Stegostoma tigrinum: one gene and its partners. Each later gene encodes a partner of the first gene's protein in a complex. Links are inferred from orthologs where the notes say so. Each region holds a gene or a part of one and is shown in the gene's direction. Other genes may lie near its edges.

Region 1 (7,430 bases):
TATCAAACCACACTGGAGCCTAAACAAACAAATGAAATCAGATGCACCACATTCAATGTAGACCCCAGAAGTAGAATAGGCAGCAAGTAACATTTGCATCACACAATTGCCAGATAATGATAACCTCGAAAAGGAAAAATATCTAAGCTTGCGATGTCTAATACAATGATTTCCGACAGTCCTTGTCTCCGACAGGTGATCTCACTGGCCACCCTTGTTTCCTTGTCATGTATGTCTCTGACAATCCATCTCACCGCCTGCCTGTAATTCCTCACAGTGAGCATGTTGATTACTATGCCTCTCTATGAGTTCTGCTTCCAGAAGCTGTAGAGAAAAGTTCATGTCTTTATCAGGATTTTCTTGCTTGTTGCATTGTGTTTCAGTTTGGTCCAGAACGACTTTCATTTCAAAAAAAAGTATGTTCTGTGATAGTATTGTAAATAAATGAATAAGAAATATATTAGGAACAGATGTGTGAAGTCTGTATATTAAAGTACTAGATGTATAGGAGCATGATGTCTGTGCGAACTCTCTGCAGCAGCAGCTCAGCTGGTCCCATTTTTCTTCCTGTTCCCTGCAGGCCTGAGTTTATTTTCCTCAGCTATTTATCTGCACGTGGATGAAAAGTTAGGATGGGAGCTGTTGCGCCCACATCCAAAATTTGAATAACGCAAGCCAATCATGGGCCCTGGAAACAAATCACAACATCAAAAATGACTTGCGGTGCCACTACATTAGAAAGCAGCTAGCAACATTCTGAATGTTCCAGAGACACGGGTTGACCAGCAGCAGAGTAATGTCTTGAATTACATGGTGAAGCAATAAGAAGGAGTAATAAACTGGGAACATATAAAAAGAAACCAGAAAAATGGGAAAATAAATTTCTGTTAACAATTGTAAAAGATGAGCATTAGCCTCATATGTTCATGTGTCATAAGTGGATATTAATAAATGAAAAGGGGAATTTGGTTCAACACCACTCAATGATGCAAAGTGAACTCAAGGACAGTTTTCACTTAAACAGATTCAGATAAAAAAAATATTAGTGAGCTGAAAGCCTTTTGAAAGTTCTACAGTCATGTTTTTCTAAGGCAGCAGCAAAGCCTGCACTGAACAGAATTTTGCATTTGTCATCTTCTGGTAAAGTGCAGGAAATTATTGCCTGATGGCAAAGTAATTAAAGAAACAATGACTGCAGCCACAGACGCTTTATTCAAAGACTTTAAGGACAAGGAAGAAATAATTATTGCAATCCAGAGCATGTCACTTGGTGTTTCCACAGGACCAGGCCAAATGGAATCTTTGTCTGAAGACATCTTTCAATAGCTACATCAGGGTCTCAAGGACTGTGACTACAGTTTTATGACTGCATTAACATGCAATGAGCTGTCAACCAGTACATGGTTATTTTGCTTCAGGTTCCTAACAGACATAATGTCAAAAACTGAATGAGGTGTTAAGTGCAGGAAACAGACAGAGTCTAGCATTTATAACTAGGGTTGTGAAGGCGCTCAAATTGAAATTGGGTCTGTGGTTATCCCAAATGAAAAATACACTGCAGCACTTTCCCAGCCTGGAGAAAATACTAGACAAAAATACAAGGAAAAACCAGAAAACCTCAGTGCACTTCTGACGAAGTTAGTAGAAGAATTCAACATATGATTTCAGGAATTAGGTGTAATGGAACAAACCATCATATTTGTCTCAAATCATTCCTTCAAGTAGACTTTGGTAGAAGGCTACCAAATTCCATCAGGTGTTTGATTTACAAGCAATGATGTTGCTACAGAGATAATTACCGGGAAAATGACTTTGAAAGTCAGATCAAAGGACATAAGCAAAAAAATTACCCACTCCTGATATCCTGTGCTTTTAATGCGGAAGCTTAGTTTGACTCCTTATTCCTCTGTGAATCAGCATTCTTTCAAATGATAAGGATGAATAGACAATAGACAATAGGTGCAGGAGTAGGCCATTCGGCTCTTCGAGGCAGCACCACCATTCATTATGATCATGGTTGCTTATCCACAATCAGTATCCTGTTCCTGCCTTATCCCCATAACCCTTGATTCCACTATCTGTAAGAGCTCTATCCATCTCTTTCTTGAAAGTATCCAGAGACTTGGCCTCCACTGTCTTCTGGGGCAGAGCATTCCATATATCCACCACTCTCTGGATGAAGAAGTTTTTCATTAACTCTGTTCTAAATGGCCTACCCCTTATTTTTAAACTGTGTCCTCTGGTTCTGGGATCACCCATCAGCAGAAACATTCTTCCTGCTCCAGAGAGTCCAATCCCTTAATAATCTTATACGTCTCAATCAGATCCCCTCTCATCCTTCTAAACTCAAGTGTATACAAGCCCAGTCGCTCCAATCTGTCAACATATGATAGTCCCGCCATTCCAGGAATTAACCTCATGAATCTACACTGCACTCCCTCAATAGCAACAATGTCCTTCCTCAAATATGGAGACCAAAACTGCACACAATACTCCAGGTGCAGTCTCACCAGGGCCCTGTGCAGCTGCAGAAGGACCTCTTTGCTCAAGTACATGTTTTGCATCTACCTCACAAATAATCATTTGATGGACTGTATATGACTAGCTGTTTCAAAGTACAAGCCAGACATCAAGGCACAGGCATATAATGTGCAGACACCGAAACTTGACGAGTGAAGACAGAGTTCAGTAGCACTAAAATAAACTTTTTATTCTATATTTTCTTCAGGGTAAATTCATAAAGTGATCTTGCATTTAAAAAGGTTGGAGGTAACTGATCTAAGCATTTCCCCTTGACATTCAAAGGCATTACCTGTGTTGAATGTTCCACTATGTACAAGCTGGGAGTTACCAGCAAAAAGAAACTGAGCCAGAGTAGCTATATAAACTCTGTGGCTGTAGGGACAGGTTAGGAGCCCAGAATTAGTTGGACTGAAGGGTCTGTTTACATACTGAGTGACACTATTAGCCTATATTGGTACATGAACAGGAAAGGTTCAGAGGGATATGGGCCAAATGCAGGCAACTAGGACTAGCTTAGTTGGGGAAACTTGCTTGGCATGGACGAGGTGAACTGAAGGGCCTGTTTCTGTGCTGTATGAATCTATAAATCTTTTCACCTCCTGTCTCCCTAAGCCTATCACCAACTAGAAGTCACAATTAGAGTGTAAGAGAACAGTTTTTTTGCTCACCTGGATAGGTGCAGCTCCAACCAATTTTTCTAAACAACCTGTTCAGAGAAGTTATTACACACCTTTGGAGGAGGTGGGGCTTGAATCTGGGCCTCTTAGTCCAGGGATAGGTACACTACCACTGTGCCACAAGAAGGCCTCGAGGTACAGCTCCACCAACAGTCAAGAAGATTAATAGTATCTGGGATAGAGTGGTCTGCTTGATTGGCAGCCCATTCAACACCTTCACGCTTCATTTCCTCCCCCATATTTGCTCAGTGACATCAGTTTGTACCCTTTACAATGTGGACTAACAGCATCTTCAAAACCATGACCTCCACCACACAGACGCACAAGACAGCCAATGCATGGAAATACCTAATCTTGCAAGTTCCCGTCCAAGCAACACATATTCTTGATCGATCCTTCACTGTCACTGAGTTAGAATCCTGGAACTCTCTTTCAAACATCACGGGGTGGCGTGGGGTGGGGTGTTACCTTCAGCCCAAGGAAAGTGGCGATTCGCGGGTGATGGCGAATAAATGCTGGTCTAGTCAGCGAAACGCACACCGCATTGACGAATACAAAACTAGGAATAGGCAATCTTGTCAGTATCACAATGTGGACTAATTTGGCTTTTGCATTACCTGAGTTACAATGGTGACTTTACAGATAGGTGGGAGAGGCATGCTTGGATTTAAATACGTGAGAATTTTAAAGCTGTTGAAATTGGGGAAACAGGACACAATATAGGTCAGCGCGGATAGGATGAATGAAAGGCATCAGTGATTTTAGGAAAGAAAACTCACATTGATGTAGTCTTCAATACAAAGATTGACCAGGATAGTATTAAAATTATGTAATTGTGTGACGGCGAAGGCCTGGAAGAGCAAGGCAGTGGCCACTGGCTTTTCAGTACTATATTCAACCGAATCTTCTATCACTCCCGTTTATTCACCAAGACATGTAATACAATAAATCATTTTAACACATAAAATATGTACTCAAACTGGGTCGTCTATTTTAGAACGAGGAGCACAGTTTCCTTTGTTTGGGTTAAAACCTGCCGTTTTGATGTGTAAACTGTCGACAAGGTGTAATTTGCTAAAACCACCGACGCGTGAGCGCACGCGCTACACGCAGGTGCTGCAGCCATCCAGGTTAACGCATGCCCAGCACTGGTTTGGCCACGGCCGGTTTGGCCTTCAAGCGCATGCGCAAACACTGTACCTCCATCTCGCCGCGAGCTCAGTGCTGACGCAGCCAGAGTGCGGGCAGTCGGGGAGCGGGCGTTGATTGGTGGTTACCTCCCTGACCAACCGCCGCCGCCTGAAACTGTAGCGGCGCAGCGACAGGGGACGGGCCGACACTAGCAGCCTACAGCACGACAGGGCGAAGTGTTAACATGGTCCGACGAGCGCCGACTGTAATATATTAAGACCTTTCTTTCATTGCGAATTATTCCCGGATTTTGGCCTGGATTTCCAGGGAGCAGTTCTATACAGAGAACAGAAGCCTTGGACTGTGGATTTTTTTTAAGGCAGTGAAAAAGAGAAGGTGGGGTCGCCAGGAGGAGGGCAGCGCCAAGCGTAGCCCAGCAGTCTGCTTTACCCGGCTGCTTCACTATCAATCAGTCTTCGTTTCGCTGGTGCTGTCTGGAGGAAAAAAAATCTTTTTCATTCATTGTGTCCTGAATTCTTTAACTGATCTACACGGGAAACGTTTTGTTTTAAAGACCAATTTCCACATTAGAGGGAGTTTTTTTTTACTTTGAATTCCCTCTCAAAATTCTGATTTTAATTATCGACTATGGCCGACGACGACGTCCTGTTTGAAGATGTATATGAGCTGTGTGAAGTGATTGGCAAGTAAGTGTGTTTTTTTTAAAAAATATATATATTTAAATTAAAGTAGAAATCAACTGAAGCCAGAATATTATGGTTGTGGTTTAATTCGTGGTTTTACTTAACGGGCCCTCCCTCTGTTTCCAGTGGATTACAGGATACGGCCGAAGGATTTATTTAGCTTTTTTGCATAATAACGAAAATAATTCTGGAAGTAAATTTAAACAAATAACATTTAGAAATCAACTTTATGCGTTAGGAAACAACTCATTATTTGCTACAATTTTATGTAAAAGTGGTACAGCCCATTGTGGATATTATTTACTTTGTAATGTATGAATTGAAATTGAAATATTGATAAAGCTGCTCTTGCATCTGAAGGATACGGTGCCTCCTTTTGAAGGAGAGGAGCATCAGACATTTATCCAGGAAATAATGAGTAGTTTCGGCTGTTTCCCGCAAAACCAAGAAATTTGCATTAATTATCAACTATATTTATGTATTGTTTTGATTCAGAAAGTTTATCGTTTAACGTTGTATGATATAATCCATTTTCTTAAGTCAGGTTGAAGATCAATTTTCGTGTTGTGAGAGCACTAATGCTCCAGCGAAGCAGTCGTTCTGATGCAGTGATTTTCAGTTAAATAAGGAAAGAATGTTTTGTCAACGTACAAGATTTTAATTGTCAAGATAAACATTTGATCAAGAGTTTCTCCTTGTAGGATGGGTCATTGTTCTTTTGTATTCTTAATTATTTTAAAACACTAGTGTTCAGGACGTGGTTTATGCATGTTTATCAGCATAGCATTTTTGTATCTCATTTATTTGTTTAGACATTTTCGTAACAAATATTTACTCTTTATTATGTTCAAATGGTGGATTGTTTTCTGGGTTTTTTTGGCTATGCATTGTAATATGTTTTCAGTCCTGTTAGGTAATCAGAATAGTGTTGACAGATAATCTCAAATATCTGTAATTGAAAGTAAATAGTCAAATATGACGCTTCTTTTGCGGTTATCTTTAAAAACTCAGGCTGTATCACAAACTTTTAAATTTAGCATGTAGTTTTAGAAATGCCATTCTTACCTTTTGCATCTATCAAGATTTCTTGTTTCAAGCAAATTGTTTTAAAAAATACAGCAGTAACTTAACCCTTTTTGGGTATTCAGATTCCTGAAGAAGGGTTTTTTAAAAGACTTGTGACCTTGTATATTTTATTTTAAAATTATATGTGTAACTTGCAACTGAACAACTGAGTTATGTTAAATTCATACTTCTGTAATTTCAGCCGAGAGAAATTGGAAGATTGCAATACTAAATATATAGAAATGGATTTTTAATTCCATTTTTGCAATTGAATCTCAGAAGATAGTGTATGAATTGTTGAGAGGATACTGACATAGATGTTACAAATATTTTGAGATGAGCCTGTCTTAACAGGAAAGTATAATGACTTGAATAGTTTTGCTTTTATATTCAATTGCAGAGCAAAATAGCTGTAAATAAAACAGATTTGTGATCACATTCTTTGATTTCACAGTTGCAATTGCATTTACTATAATGCTTTTTACTAAAATTTTGCGCTCCAGTTGTGTCTTTGGTCACATGATGCTAAGTTAAACTGCATTAGTCAGTTTTACAGTACCTATTTTAGGTAGGGACATAGGAGTTGTAAAAGTATCATTCTGTTCCAATCCCTTCAAAGCCTTGCTTCATTCTGTAATCTATTTACTATGGATATTGGTGAACACACAAGCCAATTCTTTCATTTCACCACTCTTGACCATTGCCTTCAGCTGCTTAGAACCTGACTTCTGAGATCTCCTCCATAAATCATTTCACATCTCCGACATGCTCTCCTCTCTTTTAAGGCCTTAAGTTTTTTTTTAAATGTCGTGTACCTATGTAATGTTTTGGAAAACTTCATCTTGATAAAGATGTAATTTTTGTTAAGATGTTTTATTTAAAATCTAATTTAGTTCTTTAGCATTTTGAGTTTGGAATGATTTTCAGTCATCTTTGGCTAAAGAAAAGCATCCAGAGTTGACAAATTTAGTTAAAGAAACAATTAATGAAATCAGATTTCAGGAGCAAAGCCTCTAGAATCGTTCAAGGGAAAGTTGATTGCTGTGCTACTGGAGTGTGGCTTGCATCGAAAGACAACATAGAAGGTTAAAGTTGTTTTTCTTGTCAACTAAAACAACTTTTGGTGCTTAGATTCATATGCATTTTATTCTTTGTTTTTTTTCAAAATCCTGAATGTACTCAACAAATCAGACAACATCTATACAGAGAGAAATTAGTTAACTTTTGCAGGTCACTGAACTTTCATCAGAACTGAAAACATTTAGAACTAAGTAATTTGTTGTAATGGATTAAATTTTCCTCATTGTTTCCTTTCAAAAACAAAAAAACA
Region 2 (6,970 bases), on another chromosome or scaffold:
CTTGGGCCTGCTACACCATTCGGTATAATCATGCTGATTGAGCTCAATACCCTAATCCTCCCCTCTCCCTATATTCCTTGATCATTTTAGCCACAAAACAAAAACTATATCTACCTCCTTCTTGAAAACACAATGTTTTTGCCTCAACCACTTTCTGTGATAGTGAATTCCACATGCTCGTTACTCTATAGGTGAAGAATTTCTCCTCATCTCAATCCTAAAGAATACCCCTTATCTTTAAACAATGCCCCCTGGTTCTGGACTCCCCAGTCTTTCCTGCATCTAACCTCTCTAGACGTGGTAGAATTCTGTAGGTTTCAATGAGAGTCCCTCCCCATTCTTCTCAGCTCCACTGAATAGAATCCTAACTGACTCAATCTCTCCTCATATGTCAAACCTGCCAAACCTGAAATCAAATATAATAGGAACTGCAGATGCTGGAGAATCTGAGATAAAAAAAGTGTGGAGCTGGACGAACACAGCATCTCCCAGTCACGAACTATTTCAACTCCCCCTCCAATTCCTTAGACAACATGTCTATCCTGGGCCTCCTGCAGTGCCACAATGATGCCACCCATAGGTTGCAGGAACAGCCACTCATATTCCGCTTGGGAACCCTGCAGCCCAACGGTATCAATGTGGATTTCATCAGCTTCAAAATCTCCCCTTCCCCCACTGCATCCCAAAACCAGCCCAGTTCGTTCCCTCCCCCCACTGCACCACACAACCAGCCCAGCTCCTCCCCTCCACCCACTGCATCCCAAAACCAGCCCAGCTCGCCCCCGCCTCCCTAACCTGTTCTTCCTCTCACCTATCCCCTCCTCCCACCTCGAGCCGCAGCTCCATTTCCTACCTACTAACCTCACCCCGCCCCCTTGACCTGTCCATCCTCTCCAGACTGACCTATCCCCTCCCCACCCATACTCTCCTCCCCATCTATCTTCTCCTCTATCAATCTTCGGTCCACCTTCCCCTCTCTCCCTATTTGTTTCAGAACCCTCTCCCCATCCCCCTTTTCTAATGACGGGTCTAGGCCTGAAACATCAGTTTGTGTGCTCCTAAGATGCTGCTTGGCCTGCTGTGTTCATCCAGCTCCACACTTTCTTAACCCTGAAATCAATCTTGATAAACCTTCGCTGTTCTTCCTTCTACAGCAAGAATGTCCTTTCTCAGACAAGGAGATCAAAAACAGAACGATATATTTAGATTACCTACAGTGTGGACATCCCTGCTCCTTTACTGGAATCAAATAGTTTATCTTCTTTTGTACACTAGATTGAGAGAAGTGCAGGTAATTCACTCCTTCACCTGAAAGGTGTTTCTGTAGCCTTGGATGATGATGAGAGAGAGGTATCTCAGATCCTCCTTTCACTTTACAATATTCAGGTGCTTGGTTATGTCAGATACAGACTTGGAGTCATAGAGTCAAATAGCACAGAAATAGACCTCTCAGTGCATTAGTCCATACTGACCAGACATCCCAATCTAACTCAGTCCCATTTGTCAGCATTTGGCCCATATCTCTCTAAACCCTCCCATCCAGATGCCTTTTAAACGCTGTAATTGTACCAGCCTCCACCACTTCCTCTGGCAGCTCGTTCCATACACACACCACCCTCCGTGTGAAAAGGTACCCCTCAGGTCCCTTTTAAGTCTTTCCCCTCTCGCCTTATCCCCGTGCCCCTTAGTTTTGGACTACCCCAACCTGGGGAAAAGACCTTGCCTATTCACTCTCTCCATCCCCCTCATGATTTTGTAAAACTCTATAAGGTCACCCCTCAGCCTCCGACTCTCCAGGGAGTACAGCCCCAGTCGATTCAGCCTCTCCCTGTAGCTCAAACCCTCCAACCCCAGGAACATCCTTGTAAATCTTTTCTGAACTCCTTTAAGTTTCACAACATCCTTCCCATAGAAGGGAGACCAGATTTGCACACAGTACTCCAATAGTGCCCAGACTAATGTCCTGCACAGTCGCAACATGACCTCCCAACTCCTGTACTTAATGCATAGACCAATAAATGAAAGCACACTAAATGCCTTCTTCATTATTCTGTCTATCTGTGACTCCACATTCAAAGAGCTATGAACCTGCACTCCGAGGTCTCTTTGTTCAGCAACAATCCCCAGAACCTTGGGGTGGCATGGTAGCCCTGTGGTTAGCGCTACTGCCTCACAGTGTCAGGGACCTGGGTTCAATTCTAGCCTTAGCTGACCACCTGTGTGGAAAATACTTATTCTCTCTGCGCCTGTGTGGGTTTCCTCCAAGTTCTCTAGTCTTCTCCCACAGACCAAAGATGTGCAGGCTAGGTCAGTCAAAAGTAGTGCTCAGGGATGCCTAGATTAGGTGGGTTATAGGGGGAACGGGTCTGGGTGAGATGTTCTGAGGGTCAGTGTGGATTTGCTGGGCCAAAGGGCTTGTTTCCACACCGTAGGGATTCTATGATTTATGAACGTTACCATTAACTGTGTAAGTTCTGATCTGATTTGCCTTTCCAAAAATGCAATACCTTGCATTTATTGAAATTAAACAATATTTGCCACTCCTCGGGCCATTGTCCCAACTGATCAAGATCCCATTGTACACTGAGGTATCTTTCTTCGGTGTCCTCTACACCTCCAATTTGGTGTCATCTACAATCTTACTAACCATACTTCCTATGTTCATATCCAAATCATTTATACAAACAATGAAAGGCAGTTGACCCAGTACCAATCCTTGTGGCTGGTCACAGGCCTCCAGTACAAAAAGCAACCCTACACTACCACCCTCTGCCTTCTACCTTGCAGCCAGTTCTGTATCCAAATGGCTAGTTCTCCCTACATTCCACATGATCTAACTTTGCTAACCAAAAACCTGATGAAGGGTCGAGGCCCCGAAACGTCAGCTTTTATGCTCCTAAGATGCTGCTTGGCCTGTTGTGTCCATCTAGCTCCACACTTTGTTACCCATGAGGAACCCTGTTGAACACCTTACTGAAGTCCACATATATCACATCTACCGCCCTGCCCTCATCAATCCTCCTCACCTCTTCAAAAAAGTCAATCAAGTTAGTTAGATGTGATTTGCAAAGCATAAGGCCATGTTGAATCTCCCTAATCAGTCCTTGTCTTTCCAAATACATGTAAGTCCTGTGTGTAGGGATTCCCTCCAACAGCTTGTCTCAGAAAAAAGGGCTGCAACTTCAGACTGAGGTGAGGAAAAATTTCTTCACAGAGAGGGCTGTGAGGTACCTTATGTCTATTTAATGGTGAAATAGATTAAGACCATAAGACATCGGAGTGGAAGTAAGGCCATTCGGCCCATCAAGTCCACTCCGCCATTTATATCATGGTTGATGGGCATTTCAACACCACTTCCCTGCACTCTCCCCGTAGCCCTTGATTCCTTGTGAGATCAAGAATTTGTCTATCTCTGCCTTGAAGGCATCCAACGTCCCGGCCTCCACTGCACTCTATGGCAATGAATTCCACAAGCCCACCAGTCTCTGGCTGAAGAAATGTCGTCTCATTGCAGTTTTAAATTTACCCCCTCTAATTTTAAGGCTGTGCCCACGGGTCCTAGTCTCCCTGCCTAACAGAAACAACTTCCCAGCGTTCACCCCTTCCTAGCCATACATTATCTTGTAACCATACATTATTCTTGATCAGTTGGGGAATCAAACGTTAAAGGGAAAGGACAGGAAAAGTGCATGTAAGGGCTGTCAGATCAGCTACTATCCTGTTGAATGGTGGAGCAGTTTCAACGGGCTGAATGGCCTGTTTCAGTTCCTATTTCTTATGGTCAGCGGCCCCTGTGGCCGGGGACTGTCATCGCAGGACTGGGGATCGTGGCCAGAGGAAGGTGACAGCGGCCCCTGTCGCCAGACACCTGTCGTTGCAGGAGGCGTGGGAGGCCCCGCCCCTCACCGCGGTGGGCGTGGCTACAGCTCCGCCGGTGTTGATCACGTGTCGCTTCACGGTCAGGTGATACCGGCTCCAAGATGGCGGCGTTGGCTGAATCTTTGTCGCTGGAGAGAGGTGAGTGAAATAGCTGACCACCCTCAAACCCTGCTGCCGTCGCATCTCTTTCTCTTTCCATGGGGGCCACCGAGACCCCGCGAAGGACCGGCATTTCATTCCTGATCCCGTTAAAGCTATGAATGAGTGACACCGCTACCCGCATAGCCAATCAGAGCCTGAACTCTCTGATTGACAGCAGGGTGGACCAATGGGGATGAGGTGACTATTAATATATATAAGGAGACCGACCAATAGCGAAAGGGGACGGGATCTATGGCGACTTTTTCCAGAATTATGGCTGATATAGTTCAGTAAAATATCTTAAAACAAAAATATGTGTCAGTGTCTATTTTAGTAATACGTCTCATTCTTAAATCTGTAAATGTATATAATCAGCCCGGTCAATATACATGTTAACAATGTCTCATAACTTTATCAGCATATATTTGTCCCACACATCTTTCTATCAATCATCCTTCACTTATATATTTTGTATCTCTCAGACATATTTTTGAATAATTTTTGCACATTTCGTATATCTATCAAATTCTATTTCAGTAATACTGAAACATAGATAATTATATCCCTGAAAGATATGCGAGGTGTATCAGTGAATTCTATAATGTCATATATATGAAACATATGTCTGAATACATTTAGCGTTTACCCCTATAAAGTATAGGACACATTACTGAAATGCATGCTGATATGTATCTGAAAGATACAAAATGTGGGGAAATATGTTTTTCAGATACCTGAAATAAATTTTGATATACGTGTATGTTTCAGTTATAGCTATCAGTATATGTTTCAGCAATTTATCTGTATATTGCAGTGTATTTATATATAGTGTACATTTCACATGTGTGTCAGAGCATAGACAACTGAATTAATTAAAATAAAATCAGTAAAAGGACCACTTCTGCCACAATTGTGCTGCCTTGTCATTAGTGCCATAAGACATTCCCAAATTTTCTCACATCCAATGCTCAAAAATGCAGTAGCAAACAAAATCTTTAAGATAGCTAGTGGGGTGTTTAACAAGCCAATAACCAGTCATTCCAGAATAACTGACGATTTTGTATGGTCCACCCAACAACAACATGCCCTATTTAACATGTGCACAGGTAGGATAGGCAGGGGGCTGTTCATATTTTTTGGCTTCTTTATTCATTCATGGGATGAAAACATCACTGGCTAGGCAGCATTTATTGTCCATCCCTGATTGTCCCCAGGGCATTTAAGAGTCAACCAAATTGCTGTGCGTCTAGAGTCACACATAGGCCAGACCAGCTAAAGATGGCACTTTCCTTCCCTAAAGGACATCAGTGAACCGGATAGGTTTTTCCTGACAATTGACAATGGATTCACAGTCATAATTAAATTCTTAATTTCAGATATTTTATTGAATTCAAATTCCACTATCTGCCATGGTGGGATTCAAACCCTGGGCCCCCAGAACATTATCTGGGTTTGATACATACGTGAAATGTATACTATAGATAAATTGCGGTGTGGACTTGTTGGCCGAAGGGCCTGTTTCCACACTGTAGGGAATCTAATCTAATCTAATCTCTTGTGCTCCACCTGAGAAGGCAAGCAGCAGCAAGTTAATTATTGCAAGTGGCTGTCAGTGAAGCACGGGTTCCCAGACTGGTTTCAGAAGCCACTGCCACACACCAGAAAATAAATTAGACGGAGCAAGAATACTTCTGGCCAGGGATGGGGCAGAAATGTCAAGCTTGAACACTACCTGCAAGCCAATTGCTTAATTTCTGCTTTCTGCATGGTCTAGATGTTACCAGAGCGATCGAGCTGCTGGAGAAGTTACAGCGAAGCGGCAATGTTCCCCCGCAGAAACTGCAGACGCTGCAGCGAGTTCTTCAGAGCAAGTTCTGCTCTGCCATCCGAGAGGTCAGTACGCAATCAGCGACTATAGCTTTGCTCCCTAAATGCATGCGCTCATTAAACTCAACATCAGCAAATGTGTTTGTGCATTGTAGCTCTTTCTGCATGCGTCAGCCTTTGAAGGAAAGAAGCTTATTTGCACATATTACTGTTGCATTTGATTAAAAATGAATTTTACTCTTTCTAACATGTACAATTTTAACAAAGAGTGCAGTGAGAATTTAAAATTCACTACAACATGGAATAGTTGAGGTGAACCGCATTGATATATTTTTGGCGAAGCTGGTGAACATATATGGGAGAAAGGAATAGAAGGTTATGCTGTTAAGAGTGTGGGGTGCAGAGAGGGGTAGTGGGGAAGACCTCTGTGGTGTATAATATTGGCTTAGACCAATTAATATCAATTAGCCAGTTTCTGTGTTGTGAATTCTATGTAGCTCACCTGTCCAGATCAAGAAGTATGTTTCAAAATGTCCCCAGTCAATTCCGATAATCAAGTCTTTAATGAGAAATTATCAGACTGCAATTACACACATCATGAATAATAAGGTAGTTTTGCCCAAGCTTTGTATCTTCTGGCATCTTAGCCTGTACTACAGAGAATATTCCTACCAAATTTAACTGAAAAATATACTTGGACTTAATGTCCATTTACAGCATCAGTGAAGATTAGCCAGTAACACCTTGTTTCAGAGATAGTAGGAACTGCAGATACTGGAGAATCGGAGATAACGAGGTGTAGAGCTGGATGAATACAGCAGGCCAAGCAGCATCAGAGGAGCAGGAAAGCTGACATTTTGGGCCTAGACCCTTCTTCAGAAATGGGGGGAGGGGGAAGGGGATTCTGAAATAAATAGGGAGGTGGGGAGGTAGATAGCAGATGGATAAAGGAGCAGTTTCAGGGCCAAAGAGATTAAGCGAGAATTGCAGCGGGAAAGAGATCCACTGAGGTCTTCCTGGAGGGAGGAGGGTAACTTCTTCAAGTTAGGCATCCTTAGAAGAAGCTTTGCAGTGGAGTTAACAATGTTTCGGAGATATTAGGAACTGCACATGCTGGAGAATC
Region 3 (7,862 bases), on another chromosome or scaffold:
CATCTACAAGATCCCCATTACCCACTTTGCTTGTTACATCTCTAAAGAACTCTAGCAAATTAATCCAACATGATTTGCCCTTCATAAAGCCATGCTAACTCTGATGAATAGTGTTTTGACTTTCCATATGTCCTCATATTGCTTCCTTGTTAGTTGATTCTAAAACTTTGCCATCAACAGATGTTATGTTAAGTGTTCTGTAATTTCCCACATATTGCCTTCCCCCCACCTTTTTGAATAAGCATGTTATATTAGCGTTTTATCCAATCTACTTGAATCTTTCCTGTATCCAGAGAATTTTGGAATATTGTTACCAATGGACCCATTATCTCCATTGCCACTTCCTTTAACACCCTTGGATGCAGGCCAGCAGTCTGGGGGACTTGTCTGTCATCAATCCTGATAGTTTGCTGAGTACCTTTTCCCTACTGATGTTGATTGTTCTAAGAACTACCCTTCCTAGTGTCTTTGACTTGCCTGTTCTAGTAGGAATGGTACTTTTGTCCTCCACCATGAAAAGCCTGTATGGATAGGAACGAGGACTGCCATGAGGATGAGCCGACTGACCACAGCACCATGATGCAGGAAGCCATTCAAGTTGGCGGGAAAGAAGAGAAACGTAGTTGTAATTTGAAGTAGTATAGTTAGGGGTATAGGCAGTGTTCTCTGTGACCAGGATTGAGAATCCCTAAGGTTATGTCACCTACCTGGTACTTGGGGTGGGTGATCTCACATCTGGGCTGCAGAGGAACTTGGAGTGGAAAGGGAAAGATCCAGTTGGTGTGGTCCATGTAGGTAACAATGACGTAGATAAAACTAGGACAGAGGTTCTGCTAAGGGAGTATGAACAGCTAGGAGCTAAATTAAAAAAACAGCCAAAAAGTTAATAATCTTTGGGTTACTACCTGAGCCACGAGCTAATTGGCACAAGGCCAATATGATTAAGCAGGTGAATGTGTGGCTTAAAGATTGGTGTGGGAGAAATGGGTTTGAATTCATGGGACATTGCCACCAATACTAAAGAAGAAGGGACCTGTTCCGATGGGCCGGTCTTTACCCAAATTACGCTGGGACCAGAGTCCTAGTCAATTGCATAACTAGGGCTATTGACAGGGCTTTAAATTAAGCCGGGGGTGGGGGGGCGGGGAGCTCAGTTGTAGGGGAAATTAGAAAACACAAATTAAAGGAGGAGGTAAGAGTGCAGGTTAGCAATGTGGCGGATGGTTACCAGATAATAAAGGTATGGGACAGAATAGGTGATTGTCTTTATGCACCAAGAATTTATAAAAGATTAAGGAAATTTCACAGTAGAACAAATTTAAAAACTTTGTATCTAAATGCACAAAGCGTTTGAAACAAAATTAACGAGTTAATGGCACAAATAGAAGCAAAAGGGTACAATTTGGTTACAGTTACTGAGACATGGTTACAAGGAGACCAGGTCTAGGAATTCAGAGTACTCAACATTTCAGTGGGATAGGCTGAAAGGAAAAGGAGGTGGTGTAGCTTTGATGGTGAAGGAAGGATCAGAGCTATAATGAGAAATAACATAAGCACGGGACATCAAGATGTGGAATCAGTCTGCATTGAAATAAGAAATAGCAAAGGGAAGAACTACTTGGTAGGAGTAATCTATAGGACTCCAAACAATGTTTCAGCAGTGGGGCACAGTATAAATCAGGAAATATTAGAGGCTTGTAAGAAAGGTATGGCAATAATCATGGGTGATTTTAACATACACATAGATTGGAAGAATCAAATTGGCAAAGGTTGCATGGAGGCAGAGTTCATAGAATGTATTAGAGATTGTTTCTTTGAGCAGCATGTTGTGGAACTAACCAGGGAGCAGGCTACTCCATATTTGGTGTTGTGAATTGAGGAGAGATTAATTGATGATATGATAGTTAAGGATCCCCCTAGGGATTGGTGACCATAGTATGATCGAATTAAAAATTCAGTTTGGGGGTGAGAAAGTGCAGTCCCACATTGTAATTGAGCCCACATTCATCACTTCTTCTGGAAGTTCATTCCACATGTGAACCATCGTCCATGTAAAAAATTTACATCTCATGTCTTTTTTAAAGAGTGCAGGGAAGTGGAGTTGAAATGCCCATCAGCTATGATTTAAATGGCGGAGTGGACTTGATGGGCCGAGTGGCCTTACTTCCACTCCTAGGTTTTATGGTCTTATGGTCTTAAATCTCTCTCCTCTCACCTTAAAAATGTGTCCCCTAGTCTTGAAACCCCCCACCTTAGGGAAAAGACACCTACCATTACCTCTATCTAATTCAAGGAAGTGGCCTTGTGAAATATATATTAGGTGCAGAGGGATAAAGTGTGCATCTTGCCTGACAATTGGGTTTGTTCAGATGGAGAAAGACCAAAAGAAGAGCTATTTCACACTGTAATTCTTAGTTCAAAAAGAGGAGAGAAGCTGCTACCTGCAGTCTCAGGGAGTAGCTTCATCAACCTGTTTGCCCTCTACAACCAATGAATTGCTGTCTCCTGTCTGTGTGTTTTCCCTGACTAATTACATTATGGATAATGGGAACTGCAGATGCTGGAGATTCCAAGACAACAAAATGTGAGGCTGGATGAACACAGCAGGCCAAGCAGCATCCCAGGAGCACAAAAGCCGACGCTTCGGGCCCAGACCCTTCATGAAGGGTCTGGGCCCGAAGCGTCGGCTTTTGTGCTCCTGGGATGCTGCTTGGCCTGCTGTGTTCATCCAGCCTCACATTTTGTTGTCTTAATTACATTATGGATTTGATTTAACCCTTTGCTTAATCTTGATTAGCTTTTTAGGGTATTCTGTGAGTCCTAAACTCAACCTTAACATTCAGTAAGCTCATGGCTTTAACCATTAGTCTTGAAAATGGATGGGCAGATTGGAAAGAAGATTGAAAGAATTTAAGGAAGATTTAATGGGACAGATGGATATGAAATTATGTGATAATGCCATACTTTTATTCTTTATTCATTCACAGAACAAGGACAACACTGGTTAGGCAGCATTTATTGCCAACCCCTAATTGCCCAGGGGGCAGTTAAAAGTCAACCCTGTTGCTGTGAGTCTGGAGTCACATGTAGGCCAGGTAAGGATGGCAATTTCCTTCCCTAAAGGATGTTGGCAAACTAGATGGATTTTTCCCAACAACCAACAATGGATTCATGGTCTTCATTAGTTCTTAATTCCAGATATCTAGTGAATTTGAATTCCACTATCTACCATGATAGGATTTGGGCCCCCAAAACATTATCTGGGTCTTTGGATTAACACTCCAGTGATAATACCACTGGCCATTGCCTCCCCTTGATTTGATTGGTTACATTACATTACATTGGGCGATAAAATGTGGTTTGAATTTGCACTCCTGGACTTGAGTACAAAAATGTAGGCTGACATTCCAGTGAAGTCCCAGAAAGTTCTGCACTGTTGAACATGCCTCTCTCAGATTAGAGATTAAACAAGCCCTTTCCCAGTTGGAAATCAAATATCTTAACAATGGCATTATTTTGTGGAGCAAGGAGTTATCCATGGTGTTCAGGCCAATGTCTGTTCCTTAGTGACCATCACAAAGGTAAGTTACCTGGTTGTTATCACAATGTACACTGTAAACCCTGACAAACAGAAATCTGCTGTTTCCAATCAGCAATTACAGTTCAGAAGTATTTCATTCACAGCAAATCACTTTGGGATGTTCAGCGGTCATGAAAGGTGGTGTATAAATGGCAAACTTTAAACATAAGTCAATACATGAGTTTATTTATGACAGAGACGGATAGGTTTGTGATCAGCAAGGGAATCAACAATTACAGGGAGCAGGCAGGAGAATAGTGCTGAGAGACATACTGGCCATGATTGAAATAAAAACCGAAAGAACTGTAGATGCTGTAAATCAGGATCAAAAACAAAGTTGCTGGAAAAGCTCAGTAGGTCTGGCAGCATCTGTGAAGGAAAACGCAGAGTTAAAGTTTCAGGTTCGGTGACCATTCCTCAGAACCTCCCACCAGAGAAGGGTCACCGGACCAGAAGCATTAACTCTTTTTTTTTCTTCACAGATGCTGCCAGACCTGCTGAGCTTTTCCAGCAACTTTGTTTTTGATGGCCATGATTGAAAGATCTTCCCCTATATTTTATAAAACTAAGTTTAGATAAGTTCGATTCTGCCCACTAAAGTGCCTAAGCAATTTGCACTGCAGCTTTAAACAACTATGTGGCAGACCTACCAATTTGTTGCCAAGACGCAATATTATTAAATAATAATCCTTAAAATCAGTGCTGATGTTGCCTTGGAGAACTGCATTAACCAATTGAATAAGGATCTTCGTTGGCCTAGGGGAATGGTATCTGCGTTCTTCAGCGTTGAGTGGACATCTCATGCTTAAAGCCCTCATCTCTAAGAAAGTAGTCATTCCTTTTTTCCCCTACTAGACGTTTTGTTTTATTAAGACATTTGCCTTTATTTATTGCAGATGAAGGGGAGACCTTTTGGTAAATTCACTAAATTTAATATCTGGAAATTAGTATTTCAGATACTTTAGTTCTTCAGTCTCTCAATTCTGCCACAAACTTCAAATTTTGAACTGATTTGAATATCTGAACTTGAGGACAGTAAAGACGGCAGATGCTGGAAGCAAGCGTCAGTAAATGTGGAGCTGAGAAAGCTCAGTAGTCAGACAGCATCCGAAGAGCGGGAAAGGCAACATTTCGGACCGAACTTTCCTGCTCCTCGGATGCTGTCCGGCCAGCTGTGCTTTTCGTTGAACATCTGAACTTGTCTCTGCTGCTGCAAATTTCTAATCTTCCGGGTAATGTTGAAGTGGTAATGGCTGATACTGAACAGCGCGTCTCAGGTCTTTCGCACTTCCATTGCTACTTAGTAATGGTACGTGCCTCGTACAATCCAGCCTGAGTGAGGTGCATTGGAGGTTGGATGTGTGTGTGTGGCTGATGAACGCTGTTTGTCTCTCTCTCTCTCTCTGTGCCCCTCGTGGCTGCAGTGTGAGCCGCATCATTCCAGCCAGTGCTCCCTTTCTCACACTGCCTGCCATCTCACGCCTCCTTTTCTGAAGCTGTTGCAGACATGGCGACAACATTGCAGCCGCTTACGCTGGAAAGAGGTAAGGGAACAGTCGTAATTTATCTGCACAATCCTCCCGAGTGTTTCCTCAATCTGTGACAAAATAAAATTGTAGTTTGGAAGGCTTTTGTGGCTTGAAGTGTGATTGGTCTTTACTTTTGAGTATTTATGTTCCCTGTAGCGTTGATGGACCACAGTGACGGTTTGGAGACAGATTTACTGATGCTGGGGAGCAATTTTTTTTTCCACTGAATGTGTTAAACGCGCAGAAGCCACTGATAGATTACATTTAGCAAGACATTTTCTTTTAACGGCAATTTCCGTTTGCTGTCTGCAAGACTTGAAAAGAAACAGATCAAAGGGAATATATTCTTCGCCCTTCTCCTCTCCTCCCTCCGGACTTGAAGAGATTGCGGCTGATGGAGGACGAAGTCGTCTTTAGGAAATTATCTTGCAGTCGGTTTGTTTGATAACTGGACCGACAGTGAAAATCAGAGGGCTGGGAGGCATCGGCTTTCTCTCTAAATGCGCCCTAGACAGTTCTGTTGCGAAATCATATCCCTGCCACGTTCAGTTGTTAAAATCAAGGTTTTAATATTTAAGCTGCGATTAAATATTTCGCGGAGCTGCTTGTTATATGTAACACTTTCTGTTGCGTGTAAGGAGGAGTGTGTAGTTGCAAGGGTCGGCTGCGTGTATCAACGAGATGGATTAGGGCATATTTGAAATAGCAATTCAGGAACGAGAACAAATAACCATCAGACTTTAATTAGAGATGAAATGAAAAGAGTTCATCTGATTTGCACGCTCTTTGAAGTTGCTATTTTAGATTAGTCTCAAACTGAGAGCCCTGGCGCTCATAACTAGTTACAACTAACAGTAATGACTTGTTCATGTAACACTTCACGTTAATACAATTTTGCACTACAACAGGAACATTGTGAAGTAAAAGTTTCAAGTGGATCCACCGATGTTTGTTTCTTTTCATAGACATTAGATTAAATGACCAAAAGTTTCCTCAAAAGGTAGATTTTAAGGAAGGACCTGATGCAGTTGGAGACTTGTGGACAAGGAATTCCAGCTTTTGGTACCTCAGCAACTCAAGGCAGACATCAATGGTGGAGCATTTAAATTTGGCAAAGCTTGAAGAGGCCAGAATTAGTGAAATGTGGATATGTTGGACCATTATGGGACTCAAGGAAATCAAAGTGGGAGGGAGGGATTATGACATGAAATAATTTAGAAACAAGGGGAAAACAATAATTTCAAGGTGCCAGTTAGCCAAGAGCCGGTGCAAGTCACCAAGGACAGTTTTTGGACAAATGGTACTTGGTGCAACTAAGAATGTGGGCAGAAGATATTTTGATAGAATCAAGTTTAGAGGGTAGAACGTAGGAAGCCAGTCAAGAGTACAATAGAGTAGTGAAGACTAGGTGTGACAAACACACAAGGGATATGGGCAAATGCTAGCAGATGGCATTAGGTTAATTTAGAATATCTGGTCAGCATGGAGGAGTTGAAATGAGGGATCTGTTCTCATGACTTACATATCTATGACTCTACAAATGATGGCCTCAACAGCAGAGAAGGGGCAGTATGTTCAGAATCCAATGATTTTACTGAGGTGGAAATAGGCAGTTATAGTGATGTGAAGCCCCTAAGTGCCAAACATGCAGTTGTTAAAGTTGAGTTTGGGCAATCGGGAGGAAGAAGAATGAGGATGACAAAGGAGCAGAATTTTTGGTGGAGACATAATTGATTCAGTTTTGTAAGTACTTAATGGGAGGAAATTTTTCCTCATCCATTTCTGGATGTCATTCAAGCAGTCTATTAGTGACGAGAAAATGCAACAATTGAGCAAGTTGATAAAGTCACAGGAGGTATGTGGAAACTGGCAATGCTTTTGTGTAATGTTGCCAAAAGACAGGATATAGAGATGAAACAAGGGCCAAAGATTGATCTTGGGATGCCTAACATCCTGGAGCTCAAAGACAAGCCATTGTAAATGATTCTCTGTCAATAACTAGACAGATAGGAATGAAAGCAGTTGAGTGCAGACCCAACCATCTTGATGACTTTAGAGAGGCATTGGAAAGGATTTGTAGTCAACTATGCCTGAGTTTGCAGAGAAGTGGAGAAGAATGAGGGATATTTTACTTTTGTCTCAGACCTGCATGATGATATTTGTGACTTTGATAGGAGTAATATTGGCACACTGCTGGGAAGAATTGATTTGAGGAATTTAAACATGAAGTTCTGGAAGAGATGTGCACATTTGGGAGATGAACTAAAAGAAAGAGAATCATTTAACAATGTCAGCTAACATGAGTAAAGAATTTGAGATGGGTTACAATTTACTGGAAGTAGGGTTGAGGGAAGAAGAGCTTCATGTGAGTAAGTGGAGGAGAAGCAAATTGATAAGAAACTAAAAACAGATTCAAATTTGGGAGGGGGACATTTGACGGAGTTTCGTCAGATGGGCTGGGGAAGGATTGGCAGTAGCAGATTAACTTAATTTCAGTGACAAGGAAGTCCGCAAATTCCACATACACATGGGTAAGACTGGAAGAAATAGGGCTTTCACAAGTTTGTTTGTGGAAGAACAAAGAAGTTGTGGTTTATCTTTGCACTCTGCAATAGATGATGGTGGTTTATATGGCCCAGCCAGATCTGGCAGTGAATGAATGTAATGAGAGAAAACCTTTTGCGCACAATGAGTGGGTCAGGACTGGAATACACTGCCTGGAATTGTGGTGAAAACAGGTTTGGTTGAGCCAT
Region 4 (6,861 bases), on another chromosome or scaffold:
ACTCTCCTCTCTTCCTATCTTCTCCTCTATCCATCTTCGGTCTGCCTCCCCCTCTCTCCCTATTTATTTCAGAACCGTCTCCCCATCCCCCTCTCTGAGGAAGGGTCTAGGCCCAAAACATCAGCATTTGTGCTCCTGAGATGCTGCTTGGCCTGCTGTGTTCATCCAGTTTCACACTTTGTTATCTAGGTCAAATACAGTGGTCAGGACCTGTGGATAGGGTACAATGAATCCTTGGAAGCACAGGTCAGAAGTAGATAGCTAGTGTAGATTTAAGGTTTTGTTTGTCAATCTCTTCACAAGTTGCTTCAGTAAAGTGTTGAGTTAAAATACAACAGTAGAGTCTAAATAATAAAATGTGAGGCTGGATGAACACAGCAGGCCAAGCAGCATCTCAGGAGCACAAAAGCTGACGTTTCGGGCCTAGACCCTTCATCAGTTGTTTTTCCTTGATAGTGTTCTATAAAGTCTCCCCAACTCATGCCCTCTTTTGTCTATCTCGATGTGTAATGTGCTGGAGTGAAAAAAGGTTACTGCAATCTGGTCAATATTAATTTACATTTCCCCATCTTTTTTGCTTTACAATGCCTTGACCTTTTTTATCCACATGAGTCGGCACACAGCATTTCTGTTTAGCATTACAGTCAAAAGGAAACTTCTTTCTAACAATGCCACAGATGGGTCAGCACTGGCACTGAATGTTAGTCTAACATATTGCTTTGTTCTAATGAACCTGCAAGGCTTGAACTTACAACTTTAATATCAAAAATGTCGGCATTCTTGCTCTTGAGCCAAGCTAAGTGAATAAAGGCAAAATGCTGCACATGCTGGAAATCAGAAATAAAAATAGTAGGTGCTGAACATATATCTGTGGAGAAAAAACAGAATTAATGTTTTGATTTAAATATAACTCTCCGTCAGGACAGACAGTTAAAGGGGTGTCCCTAACTCATTCATACCATGTACCTCCAAAACCTTCCCACCCCCACCCCATCCTTGAAATTAACCACTTCCCAGTTTCATGTTTTGATGGTTCCTCTTTGCATGTGAAAACAGTACAAAGTGAAACAAGGTATGAAAATGTACAGATGTAGTCTCACCTCTGGCATATCTTATATGGCCAAAGATAAGAAAATGACCTGTGACAGCTTGCTCTAACCATTTCAAGTTGAACCTGTTGGAATTTCAGGAACGCATTTACATTGCGTACACCCTGCAGACACCCGAGTACAATCCAGAAATCTCGAGCATTCATTTATCATCGTTACCCGAGGTTTTGTTTTATTGAATTCCCAAGCTCCAGTACACTTCCATCTGTCTATGTATGTGTCACAATAATGTAAATGCTTGTTTAAAAAAAAACATATTGTCTTCGGAAGCACTTTCCGCGCACACGTGCTTAAGAGTTCACTACAATACACTAAAATCATGACTGGATACCTACCAGAAATGTTTCAGCAAAGGATTGCGACGCTTTGAAAGCTCGTGTTGTAAGCAAGTAAATACATACGTGCTGGCATTAAACAAATGAAAATGTCGTGTCGCTTCAACAGTTTTGTGTCAAATCAGGCAAATTATCGTACACGTCAACATTTATTTATAAGTACTCGTTTTAGCTGGAAACATTTTGAAATTTGGGTGCTCGAATTGGGAACGCTTCACGAGGTGCTGCTTTCTAACACGGAATTAAAGACGTTATTATTCTGCTGTAAGTATTTCAAGCTGCCCACACACGGCAGCGTTCACACTCCTAAAAAGGCGAGAAGAGCAAAGCCTTGTGTGTCAGACTTACTAGAGCTGTCTCCCCGGGAGAGCACGGGGAAATAACATGACAGCGATGCACACCTACCTACCTCCCGGGAATTGGCACTTCAGCGGCGACAATACTTTTGCAGGGAGAGAAGGAAAATACAACAGATAGTAGCCGAGAGCCTGCTTTTGACACAAATCCTCCGCATAGGCTCGTCTCCGGCTGGTATTGTGCGGCTGAGTACGTGGGCGCTGGAGCAGCTCGAAGCGAGGCACCTCGGCATGGCCATACACCCCGGGCACGGCCATACACCCAGGGCATGGCCATACAACCCGGGCACAGCCATACATTCCGGACATGACCAGACACCGCAGCCTTGGCCAGACACCCCGGGCATGACCAGACACCCCGGGCTTGGCCAGACACCCAGGGCACGGCCAGACACCCAGGGCATGGCCAGACACCCCAGAGCATGGCCATACACCCCGGGCACGGCCAGACACCCCGGGCACGGCCAGACACCCCAAGCTTGGCCAGACACCCCGAGCATGGCCAGACACTCAGGGCATGGCCAGACCCCCGGGGCATGGCCATACACACAGGGCCTGGCCAGACACACAGGGCATGGCCAGGCACCCCAGGCTTGGCCAGACACCCCGGGCATGGCCAGACAGCCAGGGCACGGCCAGACACCCAGGGCATGGCCAGACATTCTGGACATGGCCAGACACCCAGGGCATGGCCAGACACCCGGGGCATGGCCATATACCCAGGGCACGGCCATACACACAGGGCATGGTCAGACACACTGGGCATAGCCAGACACCCCAAGTTTGGCCAGACACCCCGGGCTCAACCAGACACCCCGAGCATGGCCAGACACTCAGGGCATGGCCAGACCCCCCGGGGCATGGCCATACACACAGGGCCTGGCCAGACACACAGGACATGGCCAGACACCCCAGGCTTGGCCAGACACCCCGAGCATGTCCAGACACCCAGGGCATGACCAGACACCCGGGGCATGGCCATATACCCAGGGCACGGCCATACACACAGGGCATGGTCAGACACACTGGGCATGGCCAGACACCCCAAGTTTGGCCAGACACCCGGGGCACAACCAGACACCCCGAGCATGGCCAGACACTCAGGGCATGGCCAGACCCCCCGGGGCATGGCCATACACACAGGGCCTGGCCAGACACACAGGACATGGCCAGACACCCCAGGCTTGGCCAGACACCCCGAGCATGTCCAGACACCCAGGGCATGACCAGACCCCCGGGGCATGGCCATTCACACAGGGCATGGCCATACACCCCCGGCACGGCCAGACACCCCAGGCTTGGCCAGACACCCTGACATGACCAGACACCCCGGGCATGACCAGACACCCTGGGCATGGCCAGACACCCAGGGCATGGCCATACAACCCGGGCACGGCCATACATCCCGGACATGACCAGACACCCTGGTCTTGGCCAGACACCCCGGGCATGACCAGACACCCCGGGCTTGGCCTGACACCCCAGGCGTGGCCAGACACCCCGGGCATGGTCAGACACCCCGGGCTTGGCCAGACACCCCGGGCATGACCAGACACCCTGGGCTTCGCCAGACATCCCAGACATGACCAGATACCCCGGGCATGACCAGACACCCCGGACACGGTCAGACACGCAGGGCATGGCCATACACCCCGGGCATGGCCATACATCCCGGTCATGACCAGACACCCTGGCCTTGGCCAGACACCCAGGACATGGCCAGGCACTTTGGAAGCCCCCAGATACCTACGGTCAGAGCATGGCTGGGCACTCAGGGGAGCCGCTAGGCGTCCAGGGCACGGCCAATACAGCGTCAGCCACTCTTCCCAGATTAAACCAGTCATTTTGGGGCAGGCTGCTGTTTGGGGTTGGGTGGTGTGTTTTGAGGTGAGGGGCCGTGCTTTGGCGGTTGGAAAGATAAATATGGGAGCTTTTCATTGCTTCCGCTGTAAGGAGAAAAAGGGCTGCGACACCTCCTTTTTTAAATGCATTTTTTTCCCTTGATTTCCTTTAGTTTGCAGAGAGAATATGCGTCATCTTTCAGCAGGGTCTGGGTACCAGAAGGCAAGGGTTTCGCTGGCAGCGCTGTTTTAACGGGAGGCAATAGAGATGGCTTTCTCTTGACACAGAAAGATCCTGACATAGAGAAGGCAGCTATTCCTCGCCTGGGCGCGCGTGTATTTTAAATTTTAAAACGGGAATTCGTCTGAAAGATCAGCGTTCTTTCACAGCCTGGTTCAGGCCCCAGCGGGTTCTTTCAGGTACGTGGGGCTCTGTCTGTCTGTCTCTCGTTGTGCTGCCGAGCACTAATGGAATTTTCTTCGTCATGTATCGGAGCGGGGAAGCCCAGTCTTTAAGAGGCTGGCGTGAAGACAAAAAAAAACCCAATCCTGAAAGGTCTTACATCATTGCTTTACCGCGTGGAGAGATTTAAAGCCCACCCATTCCCCCAGCCCATGTCTGATCTTATCCCCCTCTTTTGTGTCCTTGGTCTTCATCAGTGAGTAAAATCCTTGCGCATCTGCAACACACGGTAGAGGGAAGAGTGCAGGAACCAGGTGAGTGGTTTAAAAGCAGCCATCACTGTATCGGAGGTTGCAGATTTAGGAGGAGAGTCTGAGGGTTTTGCATTTTGCAGACTCCATAGGCACCAACATATCAATTAAAATAAAACCGAGAGTTCCCGTTCTCCGCAGCTCCTTTCCAATAATGAATGCAAGGCGACTCACCGCTCTGTGATTGAACTCCCTTTCCCTCATACCTTACTGAGTTGATACTTTGGTTGCAAAATAAAAGTAGTTGATTACTGAATAGGATTGCTTGTCTTTGTTGAATCGTATTTCTATACTGATAGCATGTTTAAATTTAAGGACCTGTTATATTGTAGACGGAATAGAATGGATTTTTGTCCTTTCTCACTCCCCGCCAGAATTGGATGTAATTGTTGGATTTAGTTATATTATTTGGGCTACCTCCATCTGACACAGCATATCCAAATTACATCTCGGAGTACAAAAAAAACTGCTTAATTTTACAGATTGCGTTAATCATTTTGTTATGATACATGGGAAACAATACGAAGTGTCATGAGGTGAGAACGGACCGCAGCTTCCTAAGACAGGAAGCAGAAAAGAGAAATTGACATGTTAGGCGCATATCGGTAGCGTTTTCTTTTAAAAAAACATGTATCAAATTGGAGCGTTCTTTTGTCTCATAATTTCCATGCTGCGTTTTGCTGTGGTACATTGGTAATTAGATTTCCTGTCATGATTTCACTTCAGGCATTTTTACAATCCAAGAAAGGTGTGATGGCTCATTAGGTGTAGTGTGAGAAAGCTAATAAGACAATCGAAATCAAAAGGCAGAGGGAGAGAAAAGAAATGTTAACTATAAAGTGCTGGTCTATTTCTTAGGACGCTGCAACAAGTGATGTGCCAGTCAATAAAAGAATTATTGTTTTTCAGCGCCCGGGGTAGTTTTGGACGTCAGATATGTCAGGATATTGTATTCTCTACAAATGAAGCAATGGGAGTCTACTGAACCAAATGGACCATGTAACCATCAATCTCAAAGTTTTAAAATACATTTTTCAAGATCATTGTAGGACAGAAGTCTTAATATTAATCCAAAGACAGGACATATATATTTTCACTTTGGCATTTTTATGCTTTTTTGTTGGGAGTTGTAATTATCATCTTTGGAATCCAAAAGTGTTTAGCAACAAAATACAACTAATAATAATTAGTTTACATTACAGCAACTTGTCTGTCAATCTTCCAACAACTTATTTATTAAAATCTATTGAGTAAATTGGTTAAAATGACCAAATTAGATATTAAAATCCACTGAGTAATTTGGCTAAAAAGGAACTTTGCTTCCTTTTAAACTGTTCTGGAGAGCTAAGCATTTTTTTAAACAATTGAGTATCTGGTGTGAGGGAGCTCAAACAGAAAGAATTAAAATGCACATGCTGAAATGTTGTTGTTTTGGCAGGTTCAGCCATTTTGCACTAAACACAATACAAAATATTGTCCAAAAGCGGATACAAGTGCAGTCATGGTCATATATTGATTCATGTTGCTGCATTAATTGCTTCTTTTGAAGAATATTATAAAGTATTTTGATTCAGACTGGAAAATGGAATGTAAACACAGTGACCCTGCGAAATTGTCAGAAAGAAGCCAAGCTTAAAATATGAACATTGAATGAGAGAGAACTAGGAAACAGTAGGGATTATGTTGTAATTGCCCTTCATAGATTTTTCACCTGCCTTTTTGCACCTCCCTATTGCTGACAGTCACGCTCCCCTTCATTCGTTTTTTTTCCCACTATTTTCCCATTGCTTTCAAACTGTTCTTTCAACATGACCGCTTCAGTCACCAAGTAACTTCTCTCTTTTCTCCCCCTCTCCATTTTTTGCTCTGTCCATCATCTTCTCTTCTCTCTGGTACCCATGCCCCTGCTTTACTTCTGATGAAGTGCTGTCTAGACTCGAAATGTTAGCTTGATTTCTCTCCATGGATGCTACCTGATCCGTTGTGATTTCCAGCATTATTTTTTGTTTTCAGTTCAGATTCCAGTAATTTGCAGTCCCAATTTCTGTTTTCCCTCCCACATACTCCTCTATTTTGGCCGTTTCCCACATCTACCTTGAGTCTTCTCCCCCATTCTTGGCTTCTGCCCTATTTCTTCTTCAACCTGAGGCACACATCGCACCTCTCACCCCCCAACCAGTGTTCAGGCAAGCACTCGCCTTCTTTCTTTCTCTATCTTAGCCAAATTGGGTTCTTTACCCTTCCTGTCATATACGTCTGATCCAAACTGTTATTGCTTTTCCCTTTCCTTTAACAGGTTACAAATTCATTCCCACCTTTCTTCATCACAGCTGCACACTTTTCCTCTTCTCTGCCTCCACATGGTCTCAGCAGTCACCCTCTATGGCCTCAATTGGTCTGTTGTCCTTTTCTAGGCATTTTGAAAGATCTTTTGCTCCCACATCTAACTAACGAGATCTTCTCCCCAGCAGATCATGATCATCATCTACAAGCTCAGATGTTGTAG

What was found.
Region 2: the proteins of caska (region 1) and protein lin-7 homolog B are in contact, whole or in part, in an NMR structure (PDB 1Y74), measured with the Mus musculus proteins. The link is inferred for Stegostoma tigrinum from reciprocal best matches to the Homo sapiens genes CASK and LIN7B. Residues at the interface, in NP_001271432.1 of Mus musculus: Ala405, Arg408, Ala409, Glu411, Val412, Glu415, Ile416, Tyr419, Glu421, Asn422, Asp424, Ala425, Glu427, Leu428, Ile431, Leu432, Gln434, Phe437, Ala439, Leu440, Leu441, Thr443, His444, Val447, Ala448; in NP_035828.1 of Mus musculus: Leu10, Asp13, Val14, Arg16, Ala17, Leu20, Leu21, Arg23, Leu24, Ser27, Glu29, Leu30, Pro31, Pro32, Lys34, Leu35, Ala37, Leu38, Val41, Leu42, Ser44, Phe46, Cys47, Ile50, Arg51, Tyr54.
Region 3: caska (region 1) and lin7a share a complex: the UniProt entries of both Homo sapiens proteins name them as parts of the brain-specific heterotrimeric complex. The link is inferred for Stegostoma tigrinum from reciprocal best matches to the Homo sapiens genes CASK and LIN7A.
Region 4: the proteins of caska (region 1) and nrxn1a are in contact, whole or in part, in a crystal structure (PDB 6NID), measured with the Homo sapiens proteins. The link is inferred for Stegostoma tigrinum from reciprocal best matches to the Homo sapiens genes CASK and NRXN1. Residues at the interface, in NP_001354650.1 of Homo sapiens: Pro500, Met501, Gly502, Ile503, Thr504, Leu505, Lys506, Ala516, Arg517, Val549, Gln553, Leu556; in NP_001317021.1 of Homo sapiens: Lys468, Glu469, Tyr470, Tyr471, Val472.

Annotation. Positions count from the first base shown.
Region 1 is NC_081365.1:43,395,445-43,402,874, forward strand, and holds the start of caska (peripheral plasma membrane protein CASK), read left to right. Parts: upstream 1-4,423; 5' UTR 4,424-4,979; coding exon of another isoform or gene 4,980-5,038; intron 5,039-7,430. UniProt on the Homo sapiens protein: Multidomain scaffolding Mg(2+)-independent protein kinase that catalyzes the phosphotransfer from ATP to proteins such as NRXN1, and plays a role in synaptic transmembrane protein anchoring and ion channel trafficking.
Region 2 is NC_081391.1:19,469,117-19,476,086, forward strand, and holds the start of protein lin-7 homolog B, read left to right. Parts: upstream 1-3,959; 5' UTR 3,960-3,980; coding exon 3,981-4,017; intron 4,018-5,794; coding exon 5,795-5,913; intron 5,914-6,970. UniProt on the Homo sapiens protein: Plays a role in establishing and maintaining the asymmetric distribution of channels and receptors at the plasma membrane of polarized cells.
Region 3 is NC_081371.1:40,158,658-40,166,519, reverse strand, and holds the start of lin7a (protein lin-7 homolog A), read left to right. Parts: upstream 1-4,838; 5' UTR 4,839-5,087; coding exon 5,088-5,124; intron 5,125-7,862. UniProt on the Homo sapiens protein: Plays a role in establishing and maintaining the asymmetric distribution of channels and receptors at the plasma membrane of polarized cells.
Region 4 is NC_081362.1:50,233,478-50,240,338, forward strand, and holds the start of nrxn1a (neurexin 1a), read left to right. Parts: upstream 1-3,851; 5' UTR 3,852-4,061; intron 4,062-4,215; exon of another isoform or gene 4,216-4,358; intron 4,359-6,861.